Arabidopsis thaliana: one gene and its partner. The protein of the gene in region 2 purifies or fractionates together with the protein of the main gene of each other region. This does not show direct contact. Each region holds a gene or a part of one and is shown on either strand. Other genes may lie near its edges.

The links. Proteins that work in one complex are often made in the same cells at the same time.
Region 1: the proteins of ELF7 (region 2) and NRPB10 fractionate together in Arabidopsis thaliana (co-fractionation; one large-scale study listed by BioGRID). This does not show direct contact.

What each region holds. Positions count from the first base shown.
Region 1 is NC_003070.9:3,858,778-3,865,536, reverse strand, and holds NRPB10 (RNA polymerases N / 8 kDa subunit), read right to left. Parts: upstream 3,139-6,759; 5' UTR 3,018-3,138; coding exon 2,982-3,017; intron 2,779-2,981; coding exon 2,720-2,778; intron 1,954-2,719; coding exon 1,859-1,953; intron 1,758-1,858; coding exon 1,732-1,757; 3' UTR 1,463-1,731; downstream 1-1,462. Other genes in the region: AT1G11480 (eukaryotic translation initiation factor-like protein), read left to right, coding at 1-8, 103-281, 401-437, 523-584, 710-1,169; AT1G11470 (Pentatricopeptide repeat (PPR) superfamily protein), read left to right, coding at 5,015-5,159, 5,249-5,310, 5,418-5,663; UMAMIT26 (nodulin MtN21 /EamA-like transporter family protein), read right to left, coding at 6,269-6,344, 6,470-6,621. UniProt on the Arabidopsis thaliana protein: DNA-dependent RNA polymerase catalyzes the transcription of DNA into RNA using the four ribonucleoside triphosphates as substrates. Component of RNA polymerase II which synthesizes mRNA precursors and many functional non-coding RNAs.
Region 2 is NC_003070.9:29,998,974-30,007,405, reverse strand, and holds ELF7 (hydroxyproline-rich glycoprotein family protein), read left to right. Parts: upstream 1-3,322; 5' UTR 3,323-3,436; coding exon 3,437-4,032; intron 4,033-4,110; coding exon 4,111-4,179; intron 4,180-4,259; coding exon 4,260-4,367; intron 4,368-4,451; coding exon 4,452-4,632; intron 4,633-4,721; coding exon 4,722-4,798; intron 4,799-4,881; coding exon 4,882-5,001; intron 5,002-5,430; coding exon 5,431-5,536; intron 5,537-5,768; coding exon 5,769-5,855; intron 5,856-5,960; coding exon 5,961-6,029; intron 6,030-6,117; coding exon 6,118-6,186; intron 6,187-6,278; coding exon 6,279-6,422; intron 6,423-6,519; coding exon 6,520-6,663; 3' UTR 6,664-6,868; downstream 6,869-8,432. Other genes in the region: AT1G79740 (hAT transposon superfamily), read left to right, coding at 691-691, 779-2,332, 2,639-3,039. UniProt on the Arabidopsis thaliana protein: Component of the PAF1 complex (PAF1C) which is involved in histone modifications such as methylation on histone H3 'Lys-4' (H3K4me3). Involved in regulation of flowering time.

The DNA of each region.
Region 1 (6,759 bases), about 26 Mb from region 2:
AAAAACTGGTATAGTTGTTACAAGTTTCTGAACTGCCACTTTAGTTTTCAGGTTTCTTTTTTCCTCAACTATGTTTCTGATACCTCAGTTTTGTATCTGCAGGAAAATAGTGCTTCAGTCCTTATACAACGTGAAAATGCGACACAGAAAAGTTTCAACAATTCAAAATCTGGTTTGTCTACAGATGAGATTCCTAACCAGCCGGCTGAGCGGCCCAAGTTGAATCTGAAGCCTGTGGCACAGTTGCTTGAGCAGCCAGAAGTTAAAACTGAAAAGGACAGGTAACAATGTGGTACTTACATTTTTTTGTCCCAGCTCGGTAATAATTATTTTGGAGCTTGGGGACATAACTATAGTTATATAGAAGAATTGTTCTTAAAATTTGTACTGGCTGGTGCAGAAGTGCGGTTTTTGGTGGTGCCAGACCACGAGAGCTGGTGAGTGCAGTTTGTTTCATCTTGTTGTATAACTCACTCTTGTTATGTTGTCCATTTGTTTATCATCATTTGATTTCCTGGACAGGTGTTGAAGGAGAGAGGCATTGATGAGCCCGAGCATCACAAATTGGATCAACCGACAGATAGGTAGAACGGGTTTCTCTACCCACTCACATTCTGTGTATACTTTCTGCGATCCAACACTTACGATTCCATTGAGACCAACTATCTAATTTAAAGTTCTGTTTTTGTTTTTTCTTTTATATCAAAAGGATGGTCCTCAAACCGATTGAAAGAGTTCCAGAGCATGCAAGTCAAAGGCCAGTGAGTTCTCCACGTGACATGAGAACGAGGAAATTCGACCAAAAGGATGGGCGAAATGTAAGCGACATTGCCAGATCCGAAACTCAGAGGAGAAACTGGCGTGAAAATGAAAACAAGAGCGCAAGACAGCAACAGCAGACTCAGGAGAAGACAAGACATCCATCACCAGAGACATGGCGAAAGCCGGTTCCCCAGAAACTGGATTCACCAAATGGAACAGGGATTCGTCACGGAAAAGCAGCTTCTGCTCTTGAGCTAGCTCAAGCCTATTCTCCTTTCTCTGACCCTAAATCTGGAATTGGAAGCAGCAACAGTTTTAACAAAAGCCGCAACAACCAAACGCAGCAGCAACCCTTCTCTCGGTTGGTAGGATCGACAACAACAGGAAGACAGATTAATGGGTACTGAGTCATCGTTCGTTTGTTCTCTCGAATTGGTTTTAGTCCCGATTAATTGGATCTTAATAACACATCTTATGTGGTTTGGGATCGTTATTGGAGATTTGAATGTGATATGTTCCCTTAAGAACGGGGTCGGGTTACATAAGCCAGATATGATTACACTGTGTTCTTCATTCTTCTTTGGTTATACATTTTATTTTAACCGTTCGTTTGGAAGATTTGAAAACTCTTGCCCGAGCCTGAACACACTAAACAGTTGGACGATTCTGTTGTACTTGCGTTTTGTATACAAAAGGTTATGAAGACCAGTGACTTTTAACTCTTTTCTCAAAGGTTTTCAGTTATGGCCATGAAAATCACCTCAATAATACTAATGAAACATGAATCCAAAGGAGAAATCTTCAAGGTCAGGAAATCATGAGATTGAATCACACGAGAAAGTAACTGACACACATATATAATTTTAGATGGAGTTGAAGGGTCTACACCACATACACCAAATGTTTTCATACATACTAATATTTAAGCCTCTAAAGAGGAAAACTTTTTCAGCAGATTTGCATCCTCTTCTAACTGTTGTCTGATTTCTCCAGAGCTGCAAGGAAAAGTACGTGGGTACCAGTAAATAAATCGAAAAGGACAATAACGTCCGAGTCAAAAGATACACAACATATGATAAGAGTTTGGAGAGTATACTGTTGTAGTTGAGAAGCTTCTCAATCAGATCAACATGAGTCATTAGCATACGCCTGCAGCAGTATCTGACTAGCTGGAGTGCATCAAGTGCGTCCCTGCAAAATAATAAGGATATTGTAACTTCATACCTATTGAGGAGATTGAACAACACTAAGAGCCAAAAGAAAGACAAAACCAACACAGATTGAATATCTAGACACCAAGCTTAAATCCTTCTACAGGTGTAAAGAGAATCATAAGTCATCAAGCCTTCAGTCATACTTATAACAGTCGAGATAGAATCTACAACTAAACAAGATAGGCACAACAATAGTCTGTTCCAATAACATATAAAGAGCAGAGCATTAGCTTAACCCTATAAACGATTAACCCTTGGTTTGCTTCTCCAATAGCGAAATTGTTGAACTAATCCCATACTTCACACGTATTATGAACCATTCTCTCATGTTCAGACAAAGTATTCTATTTTCACACAAAGAATGATTAGTCCAATAAGAATCATGTAGATGGGCACAAGTCTAATCAAAAGACCTTAAGTCTTACTTTCTACTTCTATCAAATATCAATTGTATAGAAAATCTAGATAGGCACATAGAGATTATATAGGCAGGACATAGTCTCTTCCAATGACACAGACAGTAAAACACAAACACAGAAGATTATAAAAAGCTAACTCCTTCATCAGCAAATCTATTTTATAGCTTCTGTTATCAATTAGAGAAGTGTGTTAGCTAATATGAAACTTCACAGACCCAATACGAAATCTGGGCTAATTTCTCTAAAACGCAAAGCAATTACTCTCTTTTTGACACAAAGTATGATGATTAGAGCAGCAAGAAGTGAGAATCATTGTAAGCTTACCCTTCAGTGTAGTCGAGCTGGAGAAGATCAAGATACTGATCCCATTTGTTTCCAATCACCTAAACCAATCACAAGGTGAAAGCTTAGTAAAGCTCAATACTTTATTTCTCTAATCGACCCAACATGTATCCAACCGATTAAAAACATTCGTGTCAAATACAGAGAGTAAAGATCTCTTCTTAGCCAAATTTGGAGTAACTAAAACCCTATAAAGACGGAGTAAAACCCTAAATAAGACCAAAGCGAAGGGGAAAATATCAACCTTTCCACAAGTAAAGCAACGAACAGGGATGATCATCTTGAGCTAGTTGAAATCTGTACTTGCTCTGTCTCTCTTTCTCTGCTTGGGAATTTTAGGGTTTTTCGTTTCGTGCTTCTTTAAAAAGGTCAAGTACAACTTTGAGCTTATAACTGGGGTTAAGGAGGGCTTTCCTTAAACGACGTCGTATTTGTACGACGAGGCTTCCCCAAACCAAACGACGGTATCATTGGAAATGTGATTGACCAAAGTCAAACCCTCCCTCCGGTTTAAATTCGGTTCAGTTATATATAGTTCGATTTTTGTAGCTTGTAAGAAAATTTGTGATGGAAAACTGAAAGATACGTTCTTAAAGAGTTTGTTTCGTCTAATTATTCTTCCGTTTCTCCATTATTACCAACAAGATCAACATCTGACGGTAATTTAAAACTGGTATTCAGGTACTGAACAAGTCTGCTACATAAAAAGATTCTAGTTTAAACAAACCGACTCTGGTTAGCTCTACATCCCAAAACTCTAAAGTCTGCTGCAGAAGATTCTAATTATACTAGGAGTTAAGAAACTTCAAACACACTAAAACCCGTAGAGCTCTAAGTAAAGATGTTGATGCAAGCTTGAGCTAAATGTAACCTTCTAAGATAGATTCTGATACCTCTCCCTTGGTAAATTCCCAAACATGATAATAAAAGCATCCAGGAGACATTCATCTCGATAATAACGCCATCTTCACTCTTCAACCCGCTTTCAGTCAATGAGAGTTCATCTTCTTCAAAATCGTCCACCATTTCAGCTGAGTACAGATACCTACACTTTTCCACACCGGTATATTAGGGAAATGCATCAAACAGGTTACTTCTCTTAGAGTAAATGTCACAGTTTTAATCACTTTTACAAGCCTCAGTAGCAGATAAGATCAGGTATACAAAGACCTAAAACTGATAGTAGTAGACACACCAGAAGCACCTGATTGGAAAAGGTCGAGTAAACGGTAAAGAGAGATTGATATGATTACCTAGTTGGCTTTTGTGATGGAGACCAGAAAAAGCAGATGAGTACGAAAGATATCTATATGCACTGCCCTTAGTCTGTTATGGAATTATAAATCATCAAAGGACTGAAAGTATTGTTGGTTTCTTTATTCTTACCTTAAGCTTGTTAATGGTTGTCAACAAGGACCTGAAGATCCACTGAACACAGCAAGTTTCCAGTATAGCCCAAGAGAGCATTTTAAGAGTCATTTTCTCAAAGTGTTTAGCCAACGAGAGTGATTCGCTTATAACAAATCATAGCACACCAAGAAGCATCCTGAATGTTATGCCATTAGTGGTAGGCTTTACTATCCAATATCCACAAGTTATGAACAAAAGTAAAAGCCGAGACAATGCTTTCCTCGCAGAAGGAAAAGGTTATCACCCATACTGTAACCTCCACAGACCTTGTACCAGCGAGATAGGCGAAGTCAAAGTAGCAGTGGAGTCTTGAAACTTGGAAGCGTAAAGAGCTTCACTGTCACCGGGAACATAGAGACCGTTGGCAATTTTCGTAAATCTCAGCATCAGTAGTCTTGATCAAGCTCCCGATCAAAACAAGGAAAATTGCAGAAGACCCTAAACACTGGTAAGAGCTCACTCACTGCCACTGGTAAGCTTACTTCACTCGCTTAGAGAAGAAGAAGAAGGCTCGTGTCTACTGTGTGTGGTTGACCCGGGTCCAGTACTATTCAAAAAGTTCACACGTGTGTAGAGTTAGGGGTATTATAGACATTTCATCGTTTTATTTATTTTTACAATCTAGTAGACTGATTCATAAGTCAAACTGACAAATCGACAAAGATGTAGGTAATTGTGTAAGTAACCTACTAATATAAGAGAGATCATATCCTGATTTTAACAAGGCAACTTGATTGTTTTATATATTAGAGAATTAGGGTTATCAAAATTAGGGTTTGGAAAATGTTGGCCTTGCGCCGAATGGTATCATCAGGTTCTCTTCATCTATGGAAAAGAGAGATGAAGATCTCTACGCTTACGAGAACAATGGCTCCGTTTTCTTCTTCTTCTGCTGAGATTAAGATCGCGAGAACGGCTCCGTTTTCTTCTTCTGCTGAGAACAAAGGGAACAGGCAGATCAACGGAGCTTCTTCTTCTGCTTCCTCTTGTGATGCTGAGAATGCAAAGAGTGGTATTTTCAAGAAGCTGAGGTCTCTTACCCGAGAGACCTTAGAATTCATCATCGCGGAGGAAGAGAAGAAGGGTGTTCCCGTCACCCAGGCGGATCTCGTCAGCTCGGCAAAGCAGCTTACATGGAAGGCAAACATGTAGATGCTCTCCAGGTATCTTTCTCATCTATCTAACTTTTGTATTCATCGCTCTATTTCTTTTCTAGTTAGAGATCATTGTGTTAGGATTTATGAAAGTTTGTTTTTTTGGTTGTTGTTAGATCTTTATGTGGATGCATAGAAAGGAGATGAGTTTCTCTACCTCTGAGGTTGCACTCTTTGTGGATATCATTGGTAACACTATCGGCATAGCTGCTGCTCACTCCTACTTGAAGAAAGTAGACCCAAACTGCGACCAAATGCACAATCGTACCGAGAATTGGCCTGCTTTCGTGTCTCTCGTGAAGTTGGAGACTAAGCTGTTAAAGGAAAACGGGATAGTTCACGCTACTCGCCCTCCCAAGTGAATGATTAACTATTAATTTGGTCTGTGTCTGTGTCTGTGTGTGCGCGCTTTCTTATGTACTCTTTGTCTTCTCTTTTCATTTCATCTATTGTCGAATACCTTTTCATGTTATAAGCCTCTGAATTTATTATGTATCTCTTCTTAACTGGGTGACCTCTTCATGTTTTGCTTTGAAATAACAATAAGCCTTTGAATTATGTATATCTCTTCTTTACTGTGAATTAATCCAAGTAGAATAATATACTACTCTGCATAACACTAATACAACTGGTCTTAACTTTAATTAGGAATTTCAAATCTCATTTTGAATGCATCGACGTTCTTTCATGGCATGGCTTCCTCCATTTTTCATATAGTGCGCCTCTCGATGTTATTAGTTTATATATCATTTACCAATGGCACTTGTGAACTTTTCGAAAAATTACAGTCCATATCACATAAAATTACCCTTTCAGACTGTTTTAGCAACACATTGATACATTTAAAAGCAACACACACACAAAAAAAAAAAAAAATCCAAGAAACAGAGGTTTTGAAACTAAGAACAATAATACGACACTAATATTTAATTTTGGTCTTCGTTATTCATTAGAGAAGACAATGTAGTTATGCTTCCATATCTTTGTTCTTACCCCACAAGAACACGTAGAGACCTGTTATTGTCCCTACTGATCCAATCAGACTGTGTAGCAAAAGTTAGAAAATAAATTTTTTAATTAGTGTTATGATCGTGGACCTACATACATTTACATATATAAAGCTATTTAGAAACGAATTTAATTTCATTGAGATGATAGAAGAGAGTACCTTCCGAGGTATAAAGGAGTGTGTAAGATTATGAAATCGAATAGACTAGCCGAAATGAGAGCTATTGGCATAATTGCTGATACGAAAACAGCTCCTAATTTCTTCACCCCCCATGTCACTGATACCGTCGACATTGCTTGTCCTATCACTCCCTATAAGGTAAGAGTTGTTTATCCAAGTTATAGTATTCAATTTTTTTGATAACATGCATGAGATTGTCTAGTAATTATTTGTATAACAGAGACTAAAGAAAAACATTACTAGTTAAATTTGTAGTGGTTATTGAAACA
Region 2 (8,432 bases):
TTGCATATGGTGTGCTTTCCTTTTAGGAAATATTCAGGATCATCAATTTTATTGTGACTGCTAGCTAGCTTTGTTGTTTTTTTCTTCTTCTTACTTAAATACTTCAAGTATGGTCATCGTATACTGCAAATCATCGATAGCTAAAACATTCTAGTGCGTGGTAATGATGAGCCAATATCTTGATTGTTGAGTGTAATCGTTTAGTGCAGTGAACCAAATTAAGGATGATAGTGAATTGAAAGTGGTGGAAACTAGTATCGATTTCATTGAAAATGTAATTAAGAGTGAAATGACGACGACAATTAGAGGAAGGAAGGGAAAGTAAAACTAGGACGACGACATAAGAAAGAAGGAGAGCAAAATATCGCGAAAAATTAACTTCTCAGAAGTGTTGGTTCCGGCGAGAAGAAGTGAATCTCTTTCTCTCTCGGTAAAGCAGCTTATCCCAATTACTCTTCTTTATCCCAAATTCTCTTTGATTTCTTGCTACTTGGTCTTCTCCGATTAGATCTTCGAATCTGTTTCTCTCCTCTCCGGGAACCGGTGGCTACGTCATGTGTCTTTCTCATATTCCGGCAATCCTCAAGAGGAAATCTAGAATCCTCCATACATTTCTTATTTCCTTACTAGGGTTTTGTGTGTGTTGGCAGGTGGAAGCTGACGAAGAACAACATCATATATCATTCACCAAGTAAGTAATGTAAAGTAAAGTAGCAGCTCTATTTATTTTCTTTCCTATGATTGAGATGAAAAATTCGATTGTTGTTGTGTGAGACAGTGGTACGAGAAAAAGATATCTGCTGGGAATACGCAGAGAAACTAGATGGTAACAAGGTTAAATGCAAGTTTTGCTCTAGAGTTCTTAATGGCGGCATTAGTAGATTGAAGCATCATCTCTCTCGCCTTCCCAGTAAAGGGGTTAATCCATGTGCCAAGGTTAGGGACGATGTTACTGATAGAGTTCGTTCCATTTTATCTGCCAAGGATGATCCCCCCATTACCAACAAGTACAAGCCTCCACCACCTTTATCTCCTCCGTTTGATGCTCCTGCGTCCAAACTAGTCTTTCCTAGTTCTCCTCCTAATGCGCAGGACATTGCAGAGAGGAGTATTTCTCTCTTCTTCTTTGAGAACAAGATTGACTTCGCTGTTGCCCGCTCACCCTCTTATCACCATATGCTCGACGCCGTTGCCAAGTGTGGTCCTGGATTTGTTGCTCCTTCTCCCAAGACTGAATGGCTGGACAGGGTTAAGTCAGATATTAGCTTACAACTGAAAGACACTGAAAAGGAGTGGGTCACCACCGGCTGTACTATCATCGCTGAGGCATGGACCGACAACAAATCACGAGCACTGATTAACTTCTCCGTCTCTTCACCTTCCAGAATCTTTTTTCACAAGTCTGTCGACGCCTCCTCATATTTCAAGAACTCAAAATGCCTTGCTGATCTCTTTGATTCTGTCATCCAAGATATTGGTCAGGAGCATATTGTGCAAATCATTATGGACAACAGCTTCTGCTACACTGGTATCTCAAACCATCTCTTGCAAAACTATGCAACCATTTTCGTCTCCCCCTGTGCATCTCAGTGTTTGAACATCATCTTAGAAGAATTCTCCAAGGTTGATTGGGTCAATCAATGTATATCGCAAGCGCAGGTCATATCTAAGTTTGTCTACAACAATAGCCCCGTGCTAGATTTATTGAGAAAGTTAACAGGCGGGCAAGATATTATCCGAAGCGGTGTCACAAGGTCTGTCTCCAATTTTCTATCATTACAGTCAATGATGAAACAAAAGGCAAGGCTAAAACACATGTTCAATTGCCCAGAGTATACCACAAATACTAACAAACCACAGAGCATTTCATGCGTGAATATCCTAGAGGATAATGATTTCTGGAGAGCTGTGGAAGAAAGTGTGGCTATTTCCGAGCCTATCCTGAAAGTGTTGAGGGAAGTTTCTACTGGAAAGCCCGCTGTAGGTTCTATATACGAGTTAATGTCCAAGGCCAAGGAGTCAATACGGACATACTACATCATGGATGAGAATAAGCATAAGGTCTTTTCTGACATAGTTGATACTAACTGGTGTGAGCATTTGCATTCACCTCTTCATGCAGCAGCAGCATTCTTGAACCCCAGTATTCAGTATAACCCAGAGATAAAGTTCCTCACTTCCTTGAAAGAAGATTTTTTCAAAGTGTTGGAGAAACTTCTTCCTACTAGCGATCTACGGCGTGATATTACAAATCAGATATTCACTTTCACTAGGGCAAAGGGAATGTTCGGCTGTAACCTGGCCATGGAGGCGAGGGATTCAGTTTCACCAGGTATGGACAATAAATACATTTATATTTTCTTTAAGTCATGACTAGTGAACAGAGATGTATAGGTAGTCTGAGTCGGGAGAAAAATAATCCACTTATCTATGACCGCAATTAAAGCTATGGTCTTATTACACAACTAAATAAGTCCAGGTTGATATAGCCTGGCACGTAGTAAACCGAATTGCAAAACTAGTAGATATCTTCCCCTCACCAGGCTATTAGGGGTATGGTCTGGGATCTTTAGAATTGGTAACGAAGCACTAGAAGACTAGAAGTTGATGTCTAATAATGGTTTGCTTAGTAATGCAGGTCTCTGGTGGGAGCAGTTTGGTGACTCAGCACCTGTTTTGCAGCGGGTGGCCATCAGAATACTAAGCCAAGTTTGCAGCGGTTACAACTTGGAACGCCAATGGAGCACATTCCAGCAGATGCACTGGGAAAGGCGAAACAAGATTGACAGAGAAATATTGAACAAGTTGGCGTACGTGAATCAGAATCTAAAGTTAGGGAGGATGATAACCTTGGAGACAGACCCAATTGCCCTGGAGGACATTGACATGATGTCGGAGTGGGTGGAAGAGGCAGAGAATCCCAGTCCTGCCCAGTGGCTTGACCGTTTTGGGACCGCCCTTGATGGAGGCGACTTGAACACCAGGCAGTTTGGCGGTGCTATTTTCAGTGCCAACGACCATAACATCTTCGGCTTGTGAAGTCCTGGTAAGAGGTTTTCATAAGTTGGTCCAGCGTGTTGAGTGTTTAACCACACACCTCGGTTCGCTATACTGTACATAATGTTTGAGTAATTATCAATGTAGAAAATAAATATTTTGTGTTCCTCACACAGTCACACGTCGATGAGCTTGGTGGTACAAAGCATGTTTCGTTCATATTTGGGATTCATAAAACGGTGAGCTTAAGATTGTTTTTGTTTGTATTGAAGCCGTAATTATCAGAACCCATATGATAGTAGCGGTTATTGGGCCGCTAGTGAGGCCCAAATTAAAGTAAAAAGGAAAAATCAGTCTGACCGGAGCTATATAATTAATATATATCAAGAAGACTCGTTTTAGTTGGTTTAGGTGATTCAGATCACAAAGTACACCGAGAATGGCGTCGTACCGGCCGCCGTATCCTCCTCTTCCTCAGCCACCATCTCAAAATTCTTTGGCCCCTCCGCCTCCCCCGCCGTCGTTACCCCCTCCTGTTCCTCCCCCACCACCGTCGCATCAACCGTACTCATATCCTCCGCCGCCGCCTCCTCCTCCGCATGCTTACTATCAGCAGGGGCCCCACTATCCTCAATTCAACCAGCTCCAAGCTCCTCCTCCTCCGCCACCTCCCTCAGCTCCTCCTCCGCTCGTTCCCGATCCTCCTCGACACCAGGGTCCCAATGACCACGAGAAAGGGGCCTCCAAGCAGGTTGGAAGGCGGGAGCGTGCTAAACCGGATCCATCGAAGCACCACCACAGGTCTCATCTTCCTCATTCTAAGAAAATCGAGACCGAAGAAGAGAGGAGGCTTAGGAAGAAGAGGGAGTTAGAGAAACAAAGGCAAGACGAAAAACATAGACAGCAGATGAAAAATTCTCACAAGTCTCAGATGCCCAAGGGACACACCGAGGAGAAGAAGCCGACGCCCCTACTCACCACCGACAGGGTCGAGAATAGGTTAAAGAAACCAACCACCTTCATCTGCAAGCTCAAGTCAGTATTCTTCAAACGACTACCTAAATCTTTTTTACATATTATTGTTAGACTCTGATATTCATCTTCTTCTTCAAGGTTCCGGAATGAGCTCCCTGACCCTAGTGCACAGCTTAAGCTTATGACCATTAAACGGGATAAAGATCAGTATGTTTCTCTATTATTGCCAAATTTTATTTCTGTGTTATTCTACTGTCCTTACTTGCCAGCTATTTTGATCCCACTAGATTTACAAAGTATACCATCACATCCCTGGAGAAATTATGGAAACCAAAAATCTTTGTCGAGCCTGATCTTGGAATACCCTTGGATCTGCTTGACCTAAGTGTGTACAAGTATGTGCTCTCAATAAAGTCTTAGTGTCTTTAATGCCAGCGACCTCATCTACTGGGGATACTTACTGTTGTAGCTCTTTTCAGCCCTCCCAAAGTCAAGGCACCTCTTGCCCCTGAAGATGAAGAACTCTTGCGTGATGATGACGCTGTTACACCTATTAAGAAAGATGGCATCCGGAGGAAAGAAAGACCTACTGATAAAGGCATGTCTTGGCTCGTCAAAACACAATACATTTCTTCTATTAATAACGAATCGGCAAGACAGGTATCTATCCATCTCGCTTGTTGGAAATTTGTTTTGCCATGTATAGCTTCTAGAGACAGTTTCCAATTTCCTATGTTTACCTTGTGTAGTCGCTAACGGAGAAGCAAGCAAAGGAACTGCGAGAGATGAAAGGAGGCATCAACATCTTGCACAATCTTAACAATAGGTGTGTTGTTTCTCAAATATGTGTATTTCTAAGGAAAGTGAGAAAAAAAAAGGTCTAATGGTTTATTTTTCTTTGGTCTCTAGAGAGAGACAAATCAAGGATATTGAAGCATCCTTTGAGGCATGCAAGTCTCGACCAGTTCATGCCACCAATAAAAACTTGCAGCCGGTTGAAGTTCTACCACTGTTGCCATATTTTGATAGGTTGGATGCTCTTTATTTCCCCTTGCAGACAATCTTAAATCTGAAATACCGAATCAGGCAAAATTTTCTCATAATAGTCCTACATGTAGACACAGCTTGAAAGCTGACACTTTACAGATTATCTTTATGTTGGCTCTCTCTGAAGGATCTCCTGTGGTCGGAAACATGCACGAATAGTTTTCCTATAGGATAGTGTAATCAATCGGGTGGGAAAATAGGCAGCCTTGTTAAGGTCTAACTATACAACACTTAAGAGAGATGTTGGGTCTTTAATTTTTCCCTTTTCTCTGCTCCAACTCTTGTTCAAATGTTTCTTTGCTAGGGTTTTAGTGTATTGCCTTTTGGATGAAACATCCACTAATAATTTTCACTGAACCTGTAGCATACTATGCTATTACATTTGACTCTCCCCTTCCTTTTTTGACACAGGTACGATGAGCAGTTTGTGGTAGCGAATTTTGATGGTGCTCCTATAGCTGATTCTGAATTCTTTGGCAAGTTGGACCCTTCAATTCGTGATGCACATGAGTCACGGGTGAGTTATGAGTTACCGATATCCATGAGTATGGTCCAATTATCTCTGGTCTCTATCATAGGGATACTTTGTTCCTGAGAGAAAAGATGACTGTATCAACTATATCGTTTTTGTTGCTTACATAAGTGTACTTGAATGAGGATAGGATATATGATATATGGGGCTGAATCTTAACTATGGTTGATTGCCTTATTTTCATATTGATGACGAGCTCTGACCTCATACTCCACAGGCCATTTTGAAAAGCTATGTGGTGGCTGGATCAGACACTGCCAATCCAGAAAAATTTCTGGCGTACATGGTTCCTTCCTTGGATGAGGTAGACATGCCTCTCCATAAACTGATCTCTCTTTTACACAAATTTTGACAAGTCAAGAAAAGTTCAGTTTGATTGATGTGTTATCAATTTATGTTGCTGTGCCAGTTGTCTAAGGATATCCATGATGAAAACGAAGAAATCTCTTACACTTGGGTTCGCGAATACCTCTGGGATGTATGTACTATAGCCAATGTGGTTTAAGTGAAATTTTGATTGTTTGAGTTGCAGATTGAAATAAATATGTCACCTGATGTTATAACAGGTACAACCCAATGCAAACGATCCTGGCACATACCTGGTATCATTTGACAATGGGACCGCTAGCTATCTGGTATTGCATCGGTTTTTGTTACATATTCCAGTTGTGTATCTTTTTTTTCTTCTGTCTATAATACTTTGGGATGACCGTTGAGAATTTGGCAGCCCCTACCCATGAGGTTGAACTTGAGGAAGAAAAGGGCCAGGGAAGGAAGATCTTCTGATGAGATTGAACACTTTCCAGTACCTTCAAGGGTAACTGTAAGGCGGAGATCAACTGTATCAGTGATAGAACATAAAGATTCAGGGGTATAGTAAATCCATACATTTAGCCTTTAAAAGAGTAACACGTGGAAAGTTCTAGTTCTCTTACCAATTCCTTTGGACTTTGGGGCTTTGGATGTAGGTTTACTCTTCTAGGGTTGGTGCTTCGAGCTCCAAGATGAGAAGATTAGAGGACGAAGGCGGCCTTGGTAGATCTTGGAAACACGAGCCGGAACAAGATGCCAATCAATATAGTGATGGTAATGAGGATGATTATTCTGAATGAACGTTTCGTGTACCTCAAACTATTGAATCGGTTTTGCAATGGTTTTCCTGCAAGGCTATTGTAGGCTAATTTAAAAGCGTAATATGGCCTCCACCACAGCTTTGTAGTTTGGCAAGTAAAGAAATTTTGATTTGGATAGCTGGCGAAGTTGAAAAACGATTTTACATGTACACGTCCATAATTAATGAATTGGCCATTTACGACTTTGATCCTATCTAATGTGGCAGCTCCGTTCATCTTCAGTGGCTATGTTCATGAGAACACATCCCTGAGAGAATTCCTTGTACAGAGAAGCCTTCTTAGATACTTACTTACACTGTCTTTCTACCAGAGCTGATTAGAATCTGTAATAATATTATACAGGTTCTACTACCAGTAATTAATTAGGATGGATTAGAGCAAATCTTGTACTGTAGTAGATCCCAGTGTTGCAATTGTGGTTATTTTACAGGTTCCCGAAAATATGACATTTTCAAAATTTCTTGTACAAATGAAATTATTATGGTCCACTATGTTTTCTTTTACGAAGGGCTTTTTCTATTAGGTGGGCCTATTATTATATGAAACTGGGTTTCCTCTTGTGTAGCCCAGTGGGCAGTATAAAAATCAGCCCAAAACATAACTGCGAAATTCAAATTCTTACCCACTCGCACAATTAGCGCGTCGACGCCACCTCCTCAAAATCTGTGGACCGTTTTTGGCTGTTTTTGGTAAAATTAAAAAATTGGGCGCGTGAGGGAGTTTTCTATTGAGGAAAAAAGCAACCGTTTTTGACTAAATAATGTAACGTTTTATTTGTGATTTGTTTGACTGGGAAGCTCTGCAATGTGAATATATTTTATTTACAACTTTCTTCTTTCGATATGTTTTTTACATTATTTTTAAACAAGTTTACATTCTTATTGTTTCATTTATTATTTATTTATTTAGTTATTTGCTTTTTATAAGTATCTTAATGTAGAGATTTTATAAAAATTTAAAATGTCAATTACTGAAATGACCAATCACATGTGGACTTCGAATATAGATTTAATATTTTCCTTTCCTAATAATATGGATAATAATATATATTTTAATAACAAAATTTTGCATTTTTCTTCTTTTCATATGATTTTTTTTTTCTTTTAAAATTACATTTTCTCTTTGTATGTCTATTAATTTTTTTCTCTTATAAATATCTTGATATGGAAATTTTATTAAGTTTTAAAATGTTAATTGCTAAAATCAGTTGTGTTGATTTGTGATTGGCTGAAAAAAAATATAAAAACAGAAAAAAAAAAAAAAGAGACAATGCCTTGTTTTTAGTTATGCTTAAATCTAATCATTATTCAAGCTATTGTTGATACATACAAATTTCCTTAATCACTGCTATCAATTTCAAACGTTTATAGATTTTAAAAAATCTGTATAATAACATCAAAGATTAAAATAAAATGGTGAGAATTTTAGCACTAGCGGCCAACACTTAACATCAGTAGCACCACCATCTCACGTTGAATTTTATTTTTGTAACAAAAGAAAATTAACATATACTAAAAAAACAACCAAAAGACATTGCAAGTTTTTAGTAATTTGGTAACAAAATTGCAGTAATTCACGTGAATCCCCAATAATTTGATCTCATGCACACATAGTGGGGTCCAATCTTTTTTGTTCATTTGCCACTTCTCGCCAGCCTCTCCTCTTTTGTTCTCTTCACTACCTCCAAACTTCCCAAGAATCTCTCTTTCTCTCCTCTCTTCTCTCTCGCCTCTTCTTTAATTTCCTCT